Linked DNA regions of Drosophila melanogaster. Changing the gene in region 2 together with the main gene of any one other region gives a genetic interaction. Each region holds a gene or a part of one and is shown on either strand. Other genes may lie near its edges.

The links. Genes that interact genetically often act in the same process or in processes that back each other up.
Region 1: of spn-A (region 2) and mei-W68, changing one suppresses a phenotype caused by changing the other (phenotypic suppression), as found in Drosophila melanogaster (2 studies listed by BioGRID).
Region 3: of spn-A (region 2) and rec, changing one suppresses a phenotype caused by changing the other (phenotypic suppression), as found in Drosophila melanogaster (one study listed by BioGRID).

Annotation. Positions count from the first base shown.
Region 1 is NT_033778.4:19,453,094-19,460,962, reverse strand, and holds mei-W68 (meiotic W68), read right to left. Parts: upstream 4,794-7,869; 5' UTR 3,988-4,793; intron 2,992-3,987; 5' UTR 2,912-2,991; coding exon 2,545-2,911; intron 2,487-2,544; coding exon 1,858-2,486; 3' UTR 1,440-1,857; downstream 1-1,439. Other genes in the region: CG7744 (uncharacterized protein), read right to left, coding at 5,793-6,710, 6,762-7,416, 7,749-7,869. UniProt on the Drosophila melanogaster protein: Required for meiotic recombination. Together with mei-P22, mediates DNA cleavage that forms the double-strand breaks (DSB) that initiate meiotic recombination.
Region 2 is NT_033777.3:30,053,372-30,059,311, forward strand, and holds spn-A (spindle A), read right to left. Parts: upstream 2,667-5,940; 5' UTR 2,569-2,666; coding exon 2,491-2,568; exon of another isoform or gene 2,428-2,490; coding exon 1,495-2,427; 3' UTR 1,325-1,494; downstream 1-1,324. Other genes in the region: Jasper (JIL-1 anchoring and stabilizing protein), read left to right, coding at 1-93, 173-934; Rpp14b (ribonuclease P/MRP subunit p14 b), read left to right, coding at 2,765-2,796, 2,878-3,184; Rpp14a (ribonuclease P/MRP subunit p14 a), read left to right, coding at 3,632-3,663, 3,769-4,072; CG7950 (uncharacterized protein), read left to right, coding at 4,088-4,564. UniProt on the Drosophila melanogaster protein: Plays an important role in homologous strand exchange, a key step in DNA repair through homologous recombination (HR). Binds to single and double-stranded DNA and exhibits DNA-dependent ATPase activity. Underwinds duplex DNA.
Region 3 is NT_033777.3:15,828,694-15,835,647, forward strand, and holds the start of rec (recombination-defective), read right to left. Parts: upstream 3,940-6,954; 5' UTR 3,925-3,939; coding exon 1,661-3,924; intron 1,629-1,660; exon of another isoform or gene 1,577-1,628; coding exon of another isoform or gene 1,472-1,576; intron 1,401-1,471; coding exon of another isoform or gene 1,258-1,400; intron 1,196-1,257; coding exon of another isoform or gene 855-1,195; intron 791-854; coding exon of another isoform or gene 597-790; intron 533-596; coding exon of another isoform or gene 1-532. Other genes in the region: CG4576 (uncharacterized protein), read left to right, coding at 1-532, 597-790, 855-1,195, 1,258-1,400, 1,472-1,576; CG43318 (uncharacterized protein), read right to left, coding at 4,075-4,590, 4,698-4,700; CG43317 (uncharacterized protein), read right to left, coding at 4,831-5,241, 5,343-5,672; Arpc3A (Actin-related protein 2/3 complex, subunit 3A), read left to right, coding at 6,073-6,078, 6,220-6,393, 6,504-6,857. UniProt on the Drosophila melanogaster protein: Required for meiotic DNA recombination in females. Probably not involved in DNA repair and recombination in somatic cells.

The DNA.
Region 1 (7,869 bases), on a different chromosome or scaffold from region 2:
TTTATATATAAATTTCCCCCACCTGACAAAACACAGCGTTACTTTTCGTACGACACATTTGACACACACGAAGGCGAAGCTTAGATTCGAATCAGTTATATCCAGCAGTATGGTATTTCTTATTCAACAAGCTGATTGAAACTTTAAGAGTCTTCACTTCACCTTCGACAGGCTACCTTCCCTTGATACCCTCTATAAATGGACCACAAGAAAACTGATGACCCAAGCCACATTGCAGGAGCAAACAAGAGATGGGTTGATGAACAAGGCCCCCAAAAAAACGGACTAGGGGACGTGGGGACGGGTGATAGGTACGGACACTGACGAAACCCAAAGAAGGACTCACCTTGGCGGACGAGGTTCGTTGCTTGATCGCGGAGGGATGAGCCGAGTGGGTGCTAAGCACGTTCTTGTTGACGGTGGGCGCCACTCCACTGCCGGGGGTGTGGTGATGGTGGTGGTTAATCGCTGAGCTCGCCACCACCGCCGAATTGTTGCTGGACAAGCGGGCACCGTCGGTGGTCATGTTGTTGGCCACATGGTGGTGGTGTTGGTGGCTGTGCTGGTGCGAGTGATTGGTGTTGGCCGCTGACGCCGAAACGGTCGCTGGACCCTGGGAAACAGATCCCACTCCACCTGTCGCTGCCGCCCCCGAGGCCGGCGTGGGCGTGGCCGCAGTGCTATTGCTGGTGGCCGAATTCGAGGACGTTACAATGGGCATCATTGTGTTAGTGTTGGCGACTGGCGTTGTCGTTGGTGGCAGTGACACAATGTTTGCATTGGCCGAATCATGCTGCTGCTGCTGCTGTTGCTGCTGCTGATCCTTGACCGAATGCGAGGATGTGCTGATCGAGTTGGTGGCGTAGGTGGCGGTTGTGCTGGAGACGGCGGCCAGTGGTGGCACCGCGTTTGTTGCGCTCGATACTGGCGCCGCCGGTGCTGCTACATTGGATGCTGTGCCATTGGACACGCTATCCGCTGGCAGGGCCTCAGGAACTGACTGCAGTGTGGTGCGCATTGCTGTCGACATATTTTTAAACAGTCCAATAGGGATTCTTAGAGATTCTGCACGTGAGATTCGAGTATTTTCGGGAGTCTTTCAGGTTTCGGTGCTTAAAAGTAGTCAAATGCCCAATGGGTTTCTATCATCCGTGGTACTCCTTCACATCTGCAAGAAATAAATGCACGCAATTAGTATGGATCTAAACAAAGCAGACTACTTGTATCTTTCGGCACCTATAATATGACTGGCCATTCACTTGCCATTATCAAAAACGTAGCCAATTACCGGCTCCGATTACCGACCTCAAGCCATAACACTTTAGAGGCACAATAAAAAAAATAATCTCCTTTGTCTGCTTGAGTTTACTGGCTTCGTCCACACAAAGTAATGCAGAAAATCAAGTTGACCACTCAATACGAAACACTAGAAGCAGATTACTCAGACATTACGAGTGTAAATTACTATTATCCGTTATCCAAATATTAAAATTATGTTTTCTAAAGGCAAGGATCTTAAGGTACTTTAATATTAATTAGTCGTAATATTATATTGACGTTATTAAAGCTGCATTGAAATTAAACATTACATTTTATAACATAAGCAACAAAATCGGAATCCCAATGAATGGGGAATTTAATTATTAAATTACTATCTTAATTAATTCAAATATTAATGGAAAGCTGATTACGCGAACTAACTTTTACAGTACTATTTTTAGGAGTCTTATGGTATCTTTATAGAGATACGTTTTTTACAAACTAATTACTATATTACTATACCTACAACATATTTTAAACTAACTAATAATATTTCAAGAGTAATAATATTTGGCTTATGGGGTTTACCACTGAACTCTACAAAAACAAGTTCCGATTGATTTTATTTGGTATATAGTCGTCGGTCAGGAAGTCGATGACACTCTCGATTTCGGCCTTCAGCTGAACGTCCTGCAGCATGCGCAGTTCCTGCCGCACTCCCGGCTCCAAATCGTGGCGGGCGAGGAGGTCATTGATTTTCTTGTTGTCGCCGGCAACCAGGGCAACCGCTCCAGTGCCGAGTGCGGGAATCTCCGAGGGGTGTAGACCAATCCAACGCAGCGCAGGTGTGGTTAGTCCTTGGCTGGAAAAACTCATGGACTTCGAGCCATGGCGATAGACTAGCATTATCTCGACGCCAAATGGATCGGCGTCAACGAGAATGTAGGCCGCCAGTTGGTTCTCCTCGGTGAGCCGATGGACAATCCTCCGGGTACAGCAATCGGGGTATCCTTTTCCAGTTATAAGGATGAAGCGTCGTTCAAAAGTACCAAATACATTTCTGGATAAGAGACTCTCAAAAACCGACTCCTTTTCAACGATTAGCACAAATTCCGCCAGCGTTTCGATTCGATCTATCTTCTCGGGATCCGTGGGCAATGTCAGAGGTCCACCATACAAGCTGCTGTCCAGAACGTCTCCGTTGGTCATCAGCAGCCTTAAGTCGCCTGCAAGAGTAACCGGATGAGCAGGGAGCCTTTGATCAGGATTTCGAGATAAACTCACCTGCCACCAGGCCCTTGGAGGCGGCCAGTATGCCCAAGCTTAGGGGGGATGTCCTCAGCATACGACAGACATCTAGCCTGGCTTCGGCAATCCTGGACTGCGACCGGACTAGCAGAGGATTGTCATAGTATAGTCCACGGACGGTGAAACTTCCTCCGCGGACTTGCAATCGGTGCACCCGGGAGAGCATGTAAATCAGCACGCAAAAGCTATGGCGACTTCCGCGATTATTATAGCTGACTCGTCGATATTCCGAGATCACGTTTCCGGATGAATTTCGGGGAACACTAAGAGTGGCATTGCCATGAACCAAGTTGCTCAGCAACTCGAGGGCAATTCTTTCTATATTCTCCGAAAATTCATCCATTGTTCTAGCAATTTACTTATATTAGGAACGGATTCTTAACAACAAATATGTACGTCTTCTTGATTTCGTACTCTTGCAATCTACAAAATGAGGTTTTTTAATATCCAAATTAAGAGAAATTAATAATAAATATAATTTTACTTGTGAATAACAGATTTAAACTTAATTAAGCGGCATATATTTTAACAAGAACTTGGTTACTAACGCTTAAATTTTAAACAATTACATTTTTGAATTCCTCCAACTTTATGTATCCTTGCTCCCAATTTCCATTAGTTCTAAATTCGCATGAATTCTTCTGTTTATGTTCAATGATTTGAAACATTCTCTAGAATACAAAGTGTAAGCACTTTTTTGGTCTAATTTAATTGCATGGGTGGTGCCACGCCCCCGGGATTTTCTTGTTGGTTCTTTGAATGCCTTTGTCACAAGCGGAAACCCCGCAGGAAAATGAGTGAAAACTGTGGGCTAAAACGTTGAAACACGCCCACCGACCTACGCACAGTAATATTTCATAAATACGTAAGCAATTCGTGGACTTACATACTATACGAAAATCAAGTGGTCTTTGCACTTACTTATATCTGATTTTGTAAAAGTTTATCGCGTAAATCGTTGCGTGGAAACATTTCGAGGGGGGTTATAAATAATTTCCGAAAGGAGCTTGCTGGCTAAAAATATACCATCGAAATGAAAATTCCCTTTCGGTGAAAACAACTGTTTTTTAAAAATTTAAGCACGCACACTAGTTGCAAATGAAGAGAGCGCGAGGGAGAGTGCCATAAGTTTATGTGAATTTCTTTATTCGGTCTTTCATTTTTTCTTCTTATTTTATTATTCTTTTTTCCTTCTTTTTCGTATGTGCAGAAAAGTGTACTCGTTATTACAAAGCACACATACACCGAGTGTGGGCGGGCGGGGGGTTTTCGCTCTCTTTTGGGGAAGAGAAAGAGAGAGACTGACGGAAAAGAGAGAGCGCCAACGAATGGGCTAGGAAAACTGACGAACGGAACGAAACGGAATGGCAGCCCAAGTATTGATTTGCTGGTTATGGTGCTGCCACTTCTTGTACTTACCAATGAAATACAATTTCCGATTGGCCCAAGAAAAGCTAAAGCTGAAAAGCTATTAGCTCTCTCGCTCAGAGAGGAGTCGCTAGCTGATGGTCGCTGCTGTTGTTGTTGTTGTTGCCATCGATGTAACGCATATTATTATTTAATTTCTTTCGATTTTCCCAGTTCCTTTTCCGATTCCGTTTACCCGAAAGTGGTTAGGTTTGGAAAGGCTCTGCTTTTTACCGACTTTTACCGAACGAAAACGACGACACACACAACGAAATGCAAATGCAATACATAGCTTTCTCACTCGCTCACTAGCTACCTCTCGACCGCTCTCACTCGCACAGCAGCAGTAGCAGCAGCTCTTTGGTTTTCAATCAGATTTTTCTTTCTTATATTTTCTTATCGCGATGGTTTTTTCTTTCGCTTTTTTTTTAAGAAGAACGGTCACCGATTTTTCACAAGGATTACGAACGCACCCCCACTGCTCTCCCCAGTCACTGAAAAGCCACAATAATAACAACAACAACGACAGTCTTGTTGGCAACAAATGGAAATATTCGCTATATGCTCTGCGCTGCTCTGCCCTTCGCAAAACTAATGTGTATCCGCGATGGGTAATGGGTAACTTGATATTGATACGATTACTAATATTATTGATAGCCGATTAGCCGACATAAGCGGTGGCCGCAATTGGCAAACGACGATTGTCCCGCTCCCGCAACGCAGTTAAATATTACTATTTTCCTCCGTCCACATCCACTTTGGCAGCAACAAAAGTATGTACGTCTCGGTCTCTCAAAAAAATTCACATTACGATACGGCAGCCATATTGTAGCAGTGTTGCCAGCTGGACGGTATTCAAAAATACTAAACTTTTTCTCCTGTTACTACTTATATACTAAATATACAGCAAGCTGTCATCTAAAAACCGCGCCCACAGACTGATTGATTAATGTGTAATTTGAAATAACCAGCTAAATTTTACATTCGAGAATGGTTAGAGGCTACACAACCTTATATACATAATTGTTTATTAAGATAATTTAAATTCATAATATATTTGTTCAATATTAACAACAACATAAACAACATACTTTCAGGGGCAAATGTATGAATTTTTGAAGTGCCGTGCCGACTTTGGAAACGGCCACTTTGATTTCTACACCGCGCCGTTAACCAACTGGCAGCACTGCACTAAGAGAGCGTGTTCTGAAATCTAAGAGAACAATATAACATTTTTTAAAAGAGAAAAACAACCAAAAAGACAGGTCACTGTTATTATTGAATTTAACTTGATAATGAATATTTTCTTATAACTGCACTTAACTTAACAAAATAATAACCATTTTTTTGTTTTGCTTTTATTTCAAAAAATATGTATTTGTATAATAAACAATTTATCTAGTTTATGTGAGTCACAAAAGTTTAGTTAACGATAAAAACAAACTTTGAATGATTGTCTTCAATGAATAAATAACTTAGTTACCAAAGCTTTATTCTCCCTTTAAAATCAAGTAGTATTTATATTACCTTCTAATCTTACTCCCTGACTTTCAATTCCCTGAAAAGTTCTATATTGAAAACCACGAAACTTAGAGCTACACAGATTAAAGAATGTCTAGCTAAACACTACTTATTTAGTCGATTATAAGTAAAGGGAGGACTAACCTTTAGTAGAATAAAGAAGCTTAAAAACTGTAAGTCAAAAATAAATTATTTGATAATTAAGTTAAGTCAAATTTATATAATTTCCCAACTGGCGGTGATCTTTTCCAGAATTTTTTCTAAGTTTTTCTAGATATTTATGACCTCACATCACATTAGTGTATTGGCTGTGAGGATTTTGAGTTAATCTCAATCCACTTCCTAAGTAAATCCCCCGGCTGCATAGTTGGCTGTTGCTGCGGAAGAGCAGTCCTCGAGTATTGATATTCACTAGGCGTTATTGTGGGTGTAGGTGACGGCATTGGCGGAAAAACTGCGAAATTTCGCTGACTCTCACGGGCTTCGGACCAGCCGTAGTCCCTTACAGTTGCAGCACCTGTTCCGCATTGGGCTTCTGGACGTGGCTGCGACTCAAATCCAGAAGATTGTGACGAAGTGCGGGAAAGTTGATTCTGCTGTTTCTCTTCGTAATGTCTCATTAGATTGGCAGTGCATAGATCTTGGTTCACACTTTGATTGGCCGCCACCCAGGCGCTTACATCAGCTCCGCCGACGTTCCTGTTTATGGACGGCAAACGCGATGGCATCAAAAGATTTTGCGTGGATCTAGTGAAAGTATTGCCTTGGGCCAGGTTACTTTGTCCATGGCGATACCATTGGGACTCTAATGGTCTCATGGGTTTCTGTTGAAACATCATCGCCGGCTGGACACGCGGGGCAACCACTGTAGAGGCATCTCCATAGTTCGAGGACCAAGCCTGCTGTTCCATCCGTTGCTTCGACAGATGCAACGAGTCCAGGGACAGCAAAGAAGCAGGCGCCTGAATTGTTCGCTGGGAAATCGTTGGGGCGGGTGAGTGGCACACAGAGGCGGTTCGCATGGACAAATTGCTATTGCTGATATCACTGTATCCACTTAACTGCTGACTGAGCATGCTCAGCGTTTCATCATCGCATTCGTCCGCACAGAGGCGATGGAAGCTCTCACAGGCAGACTCGTCCCGATTCACTTGGCTCAACAGATTGGTCCGGTTGGTGGCCAACAAAACAAGGGTTACAAAACTTCCCACCAGCTGTTTAAAGAATTTGTTAAATAAGATTCAAATATAAGTAAATGCACTTACTATAAAGGATATTCCACTGATGTAAGGATCCAGGAATTCGATACCCATGGCATACCCACTCCATAACAATAGAGCAATGGTGAATCGCGTAAATTTCAATCCGTCGTATATCGTGTGCAGGAAACACAGGGCCAGCATGGCATATGGGTAGATCCCAATAAAACAGGATGCGAAGGTTGCTTGCTGCACTTGCTGTTGGCCTATGCCAAGCGAATACAGCAAGAGCTTGCCAAAGGTACGGCCATACAATAAAAGTTTGGCTATCATTTCGCGCTGTTCCAGGAAAATGCCTACGCTCGAAGTCACCACTCGAATTAAGGCCAGCACGTGGGAGTAGGCGTAGAACAAGGTTAGCCCAATGAATTTTCCAAGGTAAGTCGTAAACTGAATGGAAGTTGCATTCGGCAGCCGGCAGAGCAGGCACAAAATATTGACTACAGTCAGGATGGTCATCAGAATGCGGTATCGCTGCAGTTTAAACTGCTTTTGGGCAGCGGCCAATCGGTTGAAGTGCGGCTGCTTGAGCAACGATGCTCCCTTGATGATATAGTTCAAGAACTTGGAGCTCAACACCATTTTCTTCTTCTCGTGCAGGACTTTATTCACATGTCGTTCGCAGCTGCTACACAGGCGAAACTGCTTCTCCAGTCGTTCTCTACGGAAAACATAAATATTATTATTTAATAACTTGTGCCCCAGCTTTTATATTAAAGGTTCTCTATTAATAGATATAAATTATAAATCGGCTTACTCATAGAAACTATCTAATCTAGTTAACTTGTCTTTGATTTGCAAACCGATGTAGATACGGGTATTTAGATCATATTCAGACATACATTTGTATGTTTGTTGTATATCTTATTTGCTTGACTTAAACACGATTAACTCATTTATAAAACACATCAAGCTAAATTACTTTGCTTGATTCTTAGTAAACATAGATACCATAACATTGTATATATAATGCTTATTGTTATGACAGCTCACCTGTAAACCTTTAGTTCCTGATCGAATCGGGACTCGTTCTTGGGCTCGAATTGAGAGAGCTTCTCGACCTTCAGGCGCTGCGCCTCGTTGCACTGGTCGCACAGGCCGTTTTTGGGAGCAG
Region 2 (5,940 bases):
GCGGCGACCCCCACCTCCAGCAAGAAATCAGTGAAGAAATCCAAGCCCACGGCTGCAGTAACTCCGATTCAGAAGCGGTCGCGGCCAGTCAATGTAAGTGCGATGCAGAAATACCACCAGACATAAACTAGTATGAATTACGATACATTGATTTCCATTTTTGCCCAAACAGAACATCCGGAACGAGATGCTCATGGTGTACATGCCCACAGCCAAGTGTTTGGGAATCGTTATAAACTACAAAAAGCCGGAGAGTTTCGAAAGCGCCGCTGCCGAGGAAGCCTGGATGGAGAACGCCCGCAAAGAAGCCTTGGAGCTCAAACTGAAACTAGAGAGCGGCCAAATCAATCCGGAGTCCATGCCCGATAGGATCGTGGTGGAGCCAACACGCAGCGAAATACCCAAGCAGGAGGCTTTGCGATTCATCGAGGAGCTCATTGAGCACGAGGATGCCCTCTTCATGGAGCGAGACTTCATCCAACTTTCCCAGCAGCTGCGCGAATGTTTGGGCCTGCGGCGCGCCAATGTGGGCAAATGCCTGGAGATCCTCGAGCAGTTCAAGGAGGTGGAGTTCACCAAGTTGATGCTGCTGCGCAATCCGGAGTGCGTGGACATAATGCGCCGACTTCGCCGGTATGTGGGCAATCTGGAGCTCTGGAAAATGGACCTGTCCGACGAGGTGGAGTTCAAGGAGAGGGCGCAGACCATACGCAAGGTCTCCTCTGGCATATACGATGGCTTCAAGAGTCTCTTCAATCCGGAGCCCGAGAGCGAGGACAACTTTTGGATCGACTTCTGCGAAAAGGTAAAAATCTACAAGACCTATACGAAAAATATCAACGAAAACCTTCGCGTCGGGATGAACGAGCGCGGATATAATAGCCTGGTTTTGGCCAAGGAGGCCGCCGCTTCAGCCGGATCGGCTCCACAGTAAATGATCGAGGACCAGTTCTGCTGGACCAATTACATGATAAGGTAGGATGGGAAACCGCAAACCGCTGAGTTGAAACACATCTTCAAGAATCCTCTTTCTTGCAGTTACTCGTAAGCGTTACAAACCAGGCAACTTAAAGACCGTGCTTTGGATGACAAAGTTTTGATGAGCCAAGTGGGCTATGCTTAATTCTAGGTTAAAAATTCAGCTAAATTCCTTAATTCTGTTTGCCTGCCAGGTGCATGTCGTGTTACGCTGCGCTGATGGGGCTTTTCCTGCTGCATCCGCTTATTACCAGACTAAAAAAAAGGTTTTTGCTTCGAAACCCCTAAATATTTTCTAAGTTTGTAGATGATTTGAATAATATTGAATTAAATATAGATGGTACATACAATTCGCAACGGCTGTTTTATTTCGTCGTTATCCTAAACATTCTAAGTAAACATTAAAACAAAAAAAAAAACAATCTACGAAGTTTAATTCTTAGTCTAGGGATAAGTAATCATTAGAAAGTTAGGGAGCTCTATTCCTAGCATTAATTAACCTATAAGTGAGCACAATTAGCTCTCCCTGGCGTCTCCTATTCCATCCGGCAGAATGGCGAACATGGCCTCCGATTCCGGCAAACAGGGCGAGTCGTAGATCTTGCAGATGCGGGTTTCGCCTTTACCCTTGCGCAGATACAGCCGCGTGGTTGAGGAGTGGGCCATGATGTGCCCGCCAATGGGCTTCTTGGCATCAAACATGCCGGGTGCGCCGTCCAGCGAGGCAGTAACCTGGTTAGTAATTACCACAGCCACTCCGAACTCATCGGCCAGGCGTTGAAGCATGCGCAGAAATAAGCCCAAATGGTTTTGCCTGGCGGCCAGCTCCCCGCGACCAATATAATCGGATCTGTAGAGCGCCATGGCACTGTCCACAATCAGCAAAGCGTATCTGGACTCAAAGAGCATGCCCGCCGCCATCTGGATGAGCTTGGTCTGCTGATCTGAGTTGTGGGCACGGGTGAAGGCCACATTGTCCAGCACCTCGGATTCATTCAGTTTGTACCTTTGCGCGATGGCAGCCAAACGCTCCGGACGGAAGGTGTTCTCCGTGTCGATGTACATGCACTTGCCCTCGCCGCCCTTCTGGCTGATGGGCAGCTGGCAGGTTACTGCCAGAGTGTGGCACAATTGGGTCTTTCCGCAGCGGAACTCGCCAAAGATCTCGGTAATGGATCCCGTCTCAATGCCGCCGCCCAGCAGTTTATCCAGCTCCTTGGAGCCCGTGCTCAGCTGCACGACATCGGCACGCATTTGATAGAAGGTGCGAGCACTAAGGAAGCCCAGAGGCACCAGTTTGTTAGCCTCCGTGATGATCTGCTCCACCTTGCCGCCGCCCAAGCCGGGAATGGCCATCAGTTGCTTCTTGGTGGCATTGGCCACCGACTCCACGGTGTGCAGACTGGCCTGCTGGAGCAGCTTGATGTCCTTGGCCGTGATGCTGCCGCCCTAGGAGGAGGATATCGTAGGGAATGCCCATAATAATCCTGGTCGAGATCGCAGCCTACTCACTATTAACTTAGTCACGCTGAGTGGACCTTCTTCCTCCTCCTCTTCCTGCTGTGCCTGAACATTCGTTAGCTTCTCCATTTGACAGTTTCGAAGTTAAATTTGACTATTTGTTGTTTCGAGTTTCGTTATTTAAATTGCACGTCTTGCGTGAGAGAATTTCGACAAAGACTGCGCGGCGCGCAATTCACTGCAAAATCAGTTTGCCAATCGCCCCGAACGCACAAAACTCTATCACTACAGAGGATCCCGCTTAAAAGGAACGCGCAAGATCACCATGGCGAACTATTACTATTTCGACATCAAACTGTGAGTAGAATGATGTTCTGCGGTCATTAATATAAACTTGGTTGTTATTAAATTCAGTAAATATATTCATTTATTTAATAGTAAACTTCGGGATCCGACTGCAGTTGCTTTGACCCCATCTCTGTTTCGAAGCTGCGTTCTTGACGCCCTGGACAGTTTCTTCTGCGAGGAGAAACCCACACTGGAGATCGTGAAGTTCTGCGCCCAGCAACATCGTGTTATCTTTCGAGTGCCAGAGCAACTGCACGACATGACCCGCATATCCATTGAGCTCATCGGTCACTACCAGCAGATACCCTGTCATTTTGAGATCTTGGAAACATCCAAATCATCGCTGGACTTTGAGAAGAGCATTGAAAAGACTGTCGCGGTTGTGTCCGATGATTAGGACTAGCGAATTGTAATACTCAGTGTAATATACATTATAACCGTCATGAAGAATTTGAATTTGAATCCTAACTGATTTTACTGTGATCTGATTTTTTTGTCATTCACAACGAACTGAAATGATTTCTGTGATGGCTACTAAATGAGATTAAAAAGCGGAAAAACCCCATAAACTTGTAACCATTTTAATAAAATTGCATTTAAGTAGTTCCAATAACAATTTAAATGTTTTAATAAATGGCTATAATTTTAGCTATTTTATAACTACTCATGTCCGTTGTGAGCCGAGCTGGCATCTCTGGCGGCGCACAGCTGTTTGAGAAGCAGAAAGAAACAGCAAAAAAGGGGAGTAATTACATAAAAAAAACACACTGACCGGCAACTTTTGGACGACTTTTCCCGAAGATTCCGCCAAAAAAAGAGGGGCACTGGCACTTGCACCCAAAGCATGAGTGGTTACCAATATCTGGACGTGAAGATGTGAGTTCCGGGCACTCAGCCCCGCTCCTTAAAGCCCCGTATTTCCCACGTGCGCACGTGCATCATGCAAATATAATTAAGATAATTCACGTTTTTAATCGCCAGAAAACTCCGTGATCCAGACTCCGTGACTCTGACGCCCGTATTCTTCTGTGGCTGCATCCATAGCTCCTTGGCTAGTATTTTTGGCGAAATAGGTGGCCAGACCATACTGGAAATTGTGAAATTTAGTTCCAGCCAAAAACGCTCCATTCTCCGGGTGCCCGAGAACGTCCTGGATCGCGTTCGCGTAGCTATAGCCCTAATAGGATACTACCAGGAGGTGCCCTGCCATTTTCAGGTGCTCAGCACATCCCGAAAGCCCTTGGATTTTGAGGAATCCCCCGAGGAGTTTGTAGCATTTAACTAGCATTACCGCATCAGGATGTCATTCTCTTACTGCAAGGAGTACGGCAAGGACAAGGTGATTTTTGTGACCAAGGAGGACCATGCCACGCCCAGCACCATCGAGCTGCCGCCGCCGGAAAAGCCGGAGGGCGTGATCACCAAGGACGGCAAGATCAACTGGAGTTGTCCCTGCCTCGGCGGCATGGCCACCGGTCCCTGTGGCGTCGATTTCCGTGAGGCATTTTCCTGCTTCCAGAACAGCACCGCCGATCCCAAGGGATCGGACTGCTACGATGCCTTCACCAAGATGCGCGACTGTTTCCAGAAGTACCCCACCGTGTACAACAAATCTGGCGGTGATGACGACGACGATGATGGCTTGAGCGAGGCCTTGGACACGGATGCCGGTTCAGTTGGTGGCCAGAACGCGGATCCGCTGGCGGATGTGGGCAACAACGGAGGCGGCGATGAGCTGGTGTCCCCCAATAGCAGTTCAGTGGTGCCCAAGGCTTAGGTGGGAGTACATAAGATAAGAGCTAGGTGTGACTTCGTACAAAATAAATAAAACTTGTCATTAACTTCAATCCATCCCCACACTATCGATCGTGACTGGGAAACATTTATCAGCCAGATAGTCTGGAATTAACAGAGATATTGTTGAAACAGCATAGTGCTTATTTCAGAAATAAAAGATACTCGTTTTCTCAATTAAATTCTCGCTTTTTTTACAAATAGCGAAATACACAAATAAAAAAATGTAAATGTATCTTGTATTCACTGTAGCCAATAGGCCGTTATTTCCATATGTTGTGTATTTCTGGTATATACTCGAAGCGCTCCCACCTCGTTGGCAGTATTTTTCCACCCTGCTGCCACACTGTTTACGAAGCAGCAATCAAAGAAAACGGAAAAATAAAAGCGTATTAAGATTTCGTGTGGAAAGGAAAAATGCTGTAGGCGCAGTGTAAAATGCATATATTGCGGATAAATCGCGTTTGTGAGATGCTTAAACGCGAATTCAACATCAAGTCGGTGCAGAACTTCAAGGTGCAATAACAAAAATATCCGAATTATCGAAAAAAGCAAAGTGCAATTGGCCAGTTGAGACTACAACCACAATAACAACGACAACAACAGCAACAGCAGTGAAATAATAATATAACCTTGTGTTTTGTTTTTTGTGGCTCAAAAATCAGATATACACAAAGTTAATCGAGGTGAACGGTGTAAAAGTGATTAAATAATAACGGTTTAACAGGAAAACAGAGTTATAGTGTGTGCGAGTGTGTGTGTGCGTAGTGACAACAATACAAACGCAGAAACCAATACAAGCGCACAATAGTTTTCATACATAGGAAAACAACGAAAGTAACAGCGATAAATAATAGAAAACAACAACGAAGAGTCTCAAAAAGTGCTGGAAAAACTCGCGATAAGGAAAACAGGAACCTCCACATCGGCAGATCTTTTGAATGCTGCCGCACTTTGAAATCCGGAGACACAATGGTTTCATTAATTGACACAATCGAAGCGGCGGCCGAGAAACAGAAGCAGTCCCAAGCGGTGGTCACCAACACCTCCGCCTCCTCCTCCTCCTGTTCCTCTTCGTTCTCGTCCTCCCCACCATCTTCGTCCGTTGGCTCCCCATCTCCTGGCGCCCCAAAAACCAATCTCACGGCCAGCGGCAAACCAAAGGAGAAAAGAAGGTGAGTCACACGAATCTGCAATCCGGATACCGCCGATCTACAATCCCATCCGTTGGTTGGATCTGCCTAGATCGCTTGTTTGCCCATTGCATAAGCGCCTGCTTTCTTTTTCGCCCGCTCTTCGTCGCGATATTATTGCTCGTCGCGGCTTTCGTTGCCATCCGCCGCTTCTCGCGTTTCTTCT
Region 3 (6,954 bases), about 14 Mb from region 2:
TTCGGTGGCCCGCAATTGGTACCGACTTAATCAGGAGCCAAGTGGTAAGATCGGTCGCGAGCTGAGATTTCTCGACTGCTTCAAGTTCTTTGCCATGTTCATGGTGATATTTGCGCACACCAACTGGGTGATTTACGAGAGCGCCATCAGCAATCCGCAGGATCCGGAGCGACTGCTTCACACGGCAGCTGGCACTTTACTCGTTTCGGGATCATTGATCACTGTGACCTTTTTTGTGATCAGTGGTTTGTTGCTTACCATTAACTGGCTGGCCGTTTCACGTTCGCTAGAATCTAAAAAGGACACCTGGAGCTTCGGCCAGTATGCTTTGCTATTTGTCAAGTTTAACATCTTCCGATACATCCGACTGACGGTTCCATATGCCTTTGTATTGCTCATGAGTGGCGTTTACTTTGAGAACGCTGGAGGTCCACTGTGGCGGCACATCTTTGAGCGGGAGCAGTTGGCTTGTCGACGCAACTGGTGGACCAATCTGCTCTACGTCAACAACTTTGTACGCACGGATGAGCGGGTAAGTAATGAGTGCTTTATCTAATTTATCATCTAATCCACTCAAAATTCCATTCGGGATGCAGTGCCTGCTCCAAGGTTGGTATTTGGCAGCGGATACTCATTCCTTTGTGCTCAGCTTGGTGCTGCTGATGCTGGGTCACCGGTTCGTCAGATGGAGCAAACAGCTCTATGCGGGCATTTTGGGTCTTTTTGTGGTGGTGCCAATGGTGCTCACATATGCCATGAACTACTATCCCATTTTTGTACCCACGCCACAGTAAGTGATCGGACTTAAAAACTTTACTACTTGATTACAATCATTCTACCCATCTACCAAACAGAACCCAGAAGGATTCCTTTATCGGAGATCGTCAATTCACCGAATTCTACACGTCGTCCTTTATGAACTTCGGTAGCTATTTCTGTGGAGTCCTGGCCGCTTTGGTTTACGATCAGTTGGCATTGAAGCAATACAAACTACGGGAGTTAAAGAGCTTCCAGCTTCTTTGGTTTACACTTATTCCAGTGGGGATTCTATGGCTGTTTAGTGCTCATCCCATCTTCCAGCACTACTACGTGACGCCGTCGGCCATTTGGGGAGCATTATATGCCGGCCTGCAGCGAAACATCTGGGGCTTCGGGCTGGGAATCTTCATCGTGGGCATGGCCAGCAAAGTGGGATGTAAGTATCAACTGCGAGATATGCTTGGTATATCCTTGGCAAATCTTACTGTTCTTTCACAGGGATTTTCCGTAAGTTCTGCTGCTTGCCCATTTTCCGCATTTTGGGACGCCTCACTTATGGAGCCTTTATCGTCCACCTTCTTGTGGCGAGAATCGTCTTGGCCACAGTGCGGGAGCCCATTTATTTTGGCACGGGCATGATGGTGAGCTCACTTCTGGCATTCAATAGGAATTGGATTTTATGTAACTCAAATTGTTCTCATCTTATCTACAGTTTGCTTTCATCTTTTTTACGGTGACCGTGTCCTATCTCTGCTCCTTCTTGCTGGCCATCTTTCTGGAGCTTCCCGTCTCCTCCTTCCTCAAGCTTATGAGGTAGCCCAATGTCCTAACTTAAAGATTACTTATAACTAGAATAAAAGACATAACTTAATTAAATCCGTCACCAAAAAATTTCACTTACCCTGCGCCAATCTGGCTGGAAACGTCTTCATCGAGATTGCAGCTTCCTTTGAGCTCAAGGAAGTAACGCAGAACAGCATTGCTGGCGTCCTCGTTTAGGACCGGATTTAATTCCTGGCGAGCATAGGACAAGAACTTCTTAATCAGTATGGGTGGGAGCAGGTCCAAGTCCCCCTCCTCCGGAAGTACCTCCAGACGTTTGTCAAGATCATAATCCTGCTGCATAATGCTGTCATTATCGTCCTCCGTTTTGATTGTGTCATCATCTTTTCCCGCTGCCGGCACATTAAGGCTGACCTCGCACATGGAGTCGCTCATTTTGGGCTTAAGAGCATAGCGGGCTGCAATTCTCGCTCGTTTCCTAGCGCCCGCATGGAGAGCCCTTACGTGGGCAGTCAGCGACATATCTCTCTCCGAGGGCTTGTCCAATAATATGTAAACCAAATGGAACTCCCGCAGCAAAGAGGGTGAAATATTAATATTCTGTAGAAGGTAGCGCCCCTCATCGTATTGTCCTCTTTGTGGATTTGCGCACGCTATCACCGAAGGTTGCGCCGGGAATGAGGCAAATGCTCCTGCAAGTGGAAGATTTACTTCCTCTGATTGTAGGCACTGCAACAGTACGGCCTGCTTGGAGGCAAGTTTATCCACATCATCGAGGGTGCAGTGACCGCCTCCACTGGCCATCATCAAGGAACCCGCTTGTAGCACACGCTTGTTACGCCCAGCAAACGTAACACCCAGTTGCTGTGCGGATTGAGCCCCACGTTTTCCACTCACGTGGGCACCACGTTCAGCGATCTGAGCACAACTTTGCAGAATCTTGGTCTTTCCAATTCCGGGATCACCCACCAGGAGCACGTTGATGGCTTCAGTCTCCGCACCTTTCCCGCCGAGAAGGGATAGTAAACAGGCGGCTTTGGGTAGCTCATGTCCGTATACCTCCGGGGCAATGGATTGCACCAGTAGCTTAAAGCTGTTGGGTTCCGCATTGATCATGACAATCGCTTCCAAGTCACGTTCGCTGAACTCCCGCTTGATGCTGCTCGCATCGCGAATGCTGACTGCCTTGAGATAGGGCTGCATCTGGTTGGAGGTGTCTCCAGTGGTGGTATCGTCGCCCAATTCCTGCAGCTTAAGGATGCCAGTTACCACGACCTCCTGTCCGACACGCACAGCATCAACTAGATCATGTCGCAGCTCCACGTCCATTTCAGCAGGCATGCTGGTCTCAAAGTCGTGGACCAAGTTCAAACTGGACTCCTCCACGCGGATAATCTGTCGGATTGAAAGCCTGGTGTATGGGGAACTGCGAAGAGGCACGAATTCGTCACGAGCCACACACTCCGACCGCTTGCATTGATAAGGACGTGGCTGGAAGGTTCCCCGTTGGCGCATGGCAATCTCCATCTGGCAGCGACTGCAGCGAAAGGCTTGCCACGTGAGGCTGTAGCTAGGCTCGCCCACATTGCTCACAAAACCCCGGATGGAAAACAAAGTGTCCACTCGGGAATGGCTTATTCCTTCTATTGATTCCACAGGCACAAAATCATCCGGTCGTGCGTAGATCTTGCGTACCCGTGGGGTTGGAAGGACGTACTGTTCCGGAGTGGACACCATAGCTGTGGTGGAATCATTACAGTCCAGCTGGTGATTGACGACCACAGTGTGCATAGCCAACGACAGGGTTCCTAGCGTGCGAAGCGGGTGCTCACGGATGTCTTCGGACAAACTAGGCCAAACCTCCTTTAGCTGGGCATCTGATTTGATGCCTGCTGCGCAGAGGGGGAAGAATCCCCGATCCCGTATCATCACAAAATCGAAGGTGTGAGGATTACGTTGGTAGTATGCCTCCACGGCCATTATCCTTGTGGCCAGTTCGTTGCCCTCCTCGTATTTCTCGCGCAAGAAGTACAGTCGCCAGCCGGAATAAGCCCGTGGATTATCCACCGCAATGCTCTGCACCTGGAGCCCGTCTTCTGGTGCGGCATAGTTTTCCGGCCGCAGAAAGCTGCAGTCCAAGTGAGCATTGCGTCCTCGCTTGCCGGCTGTGCGGCTCCAGCCCCTGGGTTGCCGAGTTGCAGGCGGAACAGAAGGAGCGTCTGGTGCTCCAGGTTCCCCTTGGTTGGGTTGTCGATTGCCTCCGGCTGGGATCACACGTCCATTGCGCCGAAAGTAGAAGTACGGACGGTAGGCTCCGCCTCCGCGACCACGACCACGCACAAATCGCGATGGGGCGCCCCCCCGGGAAAGCGTTGGATTCATTTCAGCTGGGGAAAGTTTACAAATTTGCCCGCTTTTAAATAGAGATGATACCTATATTACAAATGACATGAAATATCGATAACGATCTTTGGCTAAGATATTGAACCCTTAACGATTTTATATTTAAACTTATAAATCGATGTAATAAAATTATTTTGGAATTATTTCGGCGGACACTTGTGATATCTTCGATTCTTGCTTCAGTATGCTCAGCTGGGCGGGAAGGTAGTGTTCAAATACACCCGATAGCTTCGACTTGACCTCACGAAATGTTTCCAACACTTTTATCTCCTCGTTCTCATCAGTGGGCTGCACGGCCTTTAGTTCATGTAGTAATTCGGTGCAGCCGTCGAGGAGCATCACCTGCTTCAGGTGAAGCTTAAGCAGCTCCTGCTGAATTGTCTTGATGCACTGGATTTGTTGGTCCATGCGCAGTGGAATCGTGGAAAGAGCCAACATTTGCTCCATATGCTTTTTATCCTTCACGAACATTTTAGCAGCACTTTCCATGGCTTCAGCAGGTTTTGCTTCAATCTCCTTGGGATCTTTGTGCTTTTTATCCTCCACGATCGTTTTATGAATAATTTCCATGTTTTCAGCAGGTTTTGCTTCAATCTCCTTGGGATCTTTAATGCACGGAGCTTCCGTCTCGGTTTTAGCTGGAATCTGTAAGGGAAATTAGGGCTTACTAACTAACTAGCCTTAGAAATTGACAGCTATCGCCTTTTTTTTTGGTTATCTACAGCTTTGTATTTATTTATTTTTTTTTTTACCATTTTGTTCTCTGCTGAAAAGTTTTAGAGACCGTATGCAACCAATGATAAAACTGAATAGCAGATCGAATACTAAGTCAAAGCCTCCTTTTAATAAGAAACTCATAGTTTTTTACAGAACATTCAGAGCGATCTAGGGTTCTGGTTTCTGGTCACCTTTTTTCGGGAAAAGTGAACTCAGATTGACGGGACAGTTGTCCAGGCGGGCCAGTTGCTTAACCATGTCATCCAGGAGCAGGCTGTTCCGCTCGTCGGAACCCTGGATGAGCCCGTAGGCCTCTGCGTTGGCGATTCGGTGCTGCAGAAGCGGCATGTAGGGTCCATTGAAATGCGGCTGTCCATTGGCCAATTCCGGCGGAGGCTTAGCAGTGGGAATAAAGTCCGTTTCCGACTTTGGGGACCGGCAAGTCGGCTGGTTTGGCCGAAACTTTGGAGTCCTATAGCCCAACTTTCGCTTCTTTTCCGCCTGCAAGTGATTTTCGCTCACGTCGTCGGACTCGTAATGATGGTTATAAAACCGGATGCCGTATATTGCGGGCTTTGGCTAAATTAGGTAGATTTATCTTTAGATAAATTAATATTTTGTGTTATAGATAGTGTTGATGGTTAGAAACTGAGACATATCTCCAAATCTCCAATACTCACAGCTCTCTTGCGCTCCTCATCGTAGCCATCGTCATCCGAATCATCATCCTGTTCATCATTGTCCATTTCAATGGGAATCCGGTCACTGGTCACCGGCACCTGGGGCACGAATTCTGAGGCACTTGCTCGGAGTCCATTAGGGGAGACCGCGGTCGGCGGAGAAGCAGAAGCCGAAGTCGGAGGAGTAACGGCTGGAGTCACCTCATTGCTCATGGACTCTAGTTCCAGACATAAACGTTTGTAGGCCATCGTGGTTCTTTCCAAGTGGTTGAGATCCAATTTGCCAGCGATATGGGCAACGTTCTGGAGGAATTTTTTACTTTCATCCATAAAGAGCGAAGTCACAATCAAATTCCTTTGTGGATGGCGCAAACATTAAAAATTTTAAACATTTAACACAAACTTGATTTGTTTAGCATTCGATGTTTCGATTCGATTTCTGACAGAAAATCTGGAACTGTCAAACATATTTAAATTGGTTGATGTACAACAATTTATAAAAAAATATTAATAACGAACTAAAAAACTTGTAGTATTTAATGGAATTGTCCACAATTTTAAAAATTTAGCTCAGTGTGACCATTTCGGTCGCGACTTATCGGTCTTGTCGATAAATTAGAGCTGCAAAATTTGTAAACAGTGGACGCCTATAATTAAAAACAATATTTAACATCGAAAAAATAACGTTTTCAACGTTAATTTAAATAATTAATTTAAAATACAATTCAACATGCCGGTTAGTGGATACTTGCGCATCAAAGGCAAACGAGTTGGCGTTGAGATATTCCCAGTTCTTTTCACCTGCTTTCGTGACCCCCTGCCAAGCATAAAAATTTCCAAGGGAAAAGGCAATCTTGTAAATTAACTATGCTTTCAGGCCTACCACTCGCAGATCAAGGAAGTGCGCCAGCAGGTGGGCAACATGGCCATCCTGCCGCTGAGGACGCAGGTGCGCGGGCCAGCGCCCAGTGCGAATATTGAGAGCGACATCATTGATGAGTCACTGTACTACTTCAAAGCCAATGTCTTCTTTCGCACGTACGAAATCAAGGTGAGGCCGTAATCCGGGATTCAGAACCATTACCTGGTCACGTGATGGTCATATTGAATCCTTATGCTACTTGCTACTTGAATTCACAAACTATGTTTTACCATTTTCAGTCCGACGTGGATCGCGTGCTCATCTATGTGACGCTCTACATAACAGAGTGCCTCAAGAAGCTCAATCGCTCCACGAGCAAGGCCCAGGGACAGCAGGACATGTACAGCCTGGCCATCTCCAAGTTCGACATTCCCGGCGATGCTGGCTTCCCATTGAACGCCGTCTATGCCAAGCCGCAAACGGCCCAGGATGCGGATCTGATGCGCCAGTACCTGCTGCAGCTGCGCCACGAAACCGGCAACCGGGTACTGGAGAAGGTCTTCAACACCGAGGATGGCAAGCCCAATAAATGGTGGACCTGCTTCGCGAAGAAAAAGTTCATGGAGAAGAGTCTGGCTGGACCTGGACAATAAACAGCTATCCACAATATCTGGTATCTTGTTTTGCTTCTACGACGGGTAAAAATACCCTTCAATTAAGTTTTACTCGCAGCGTGGTCCTAATTTGCAG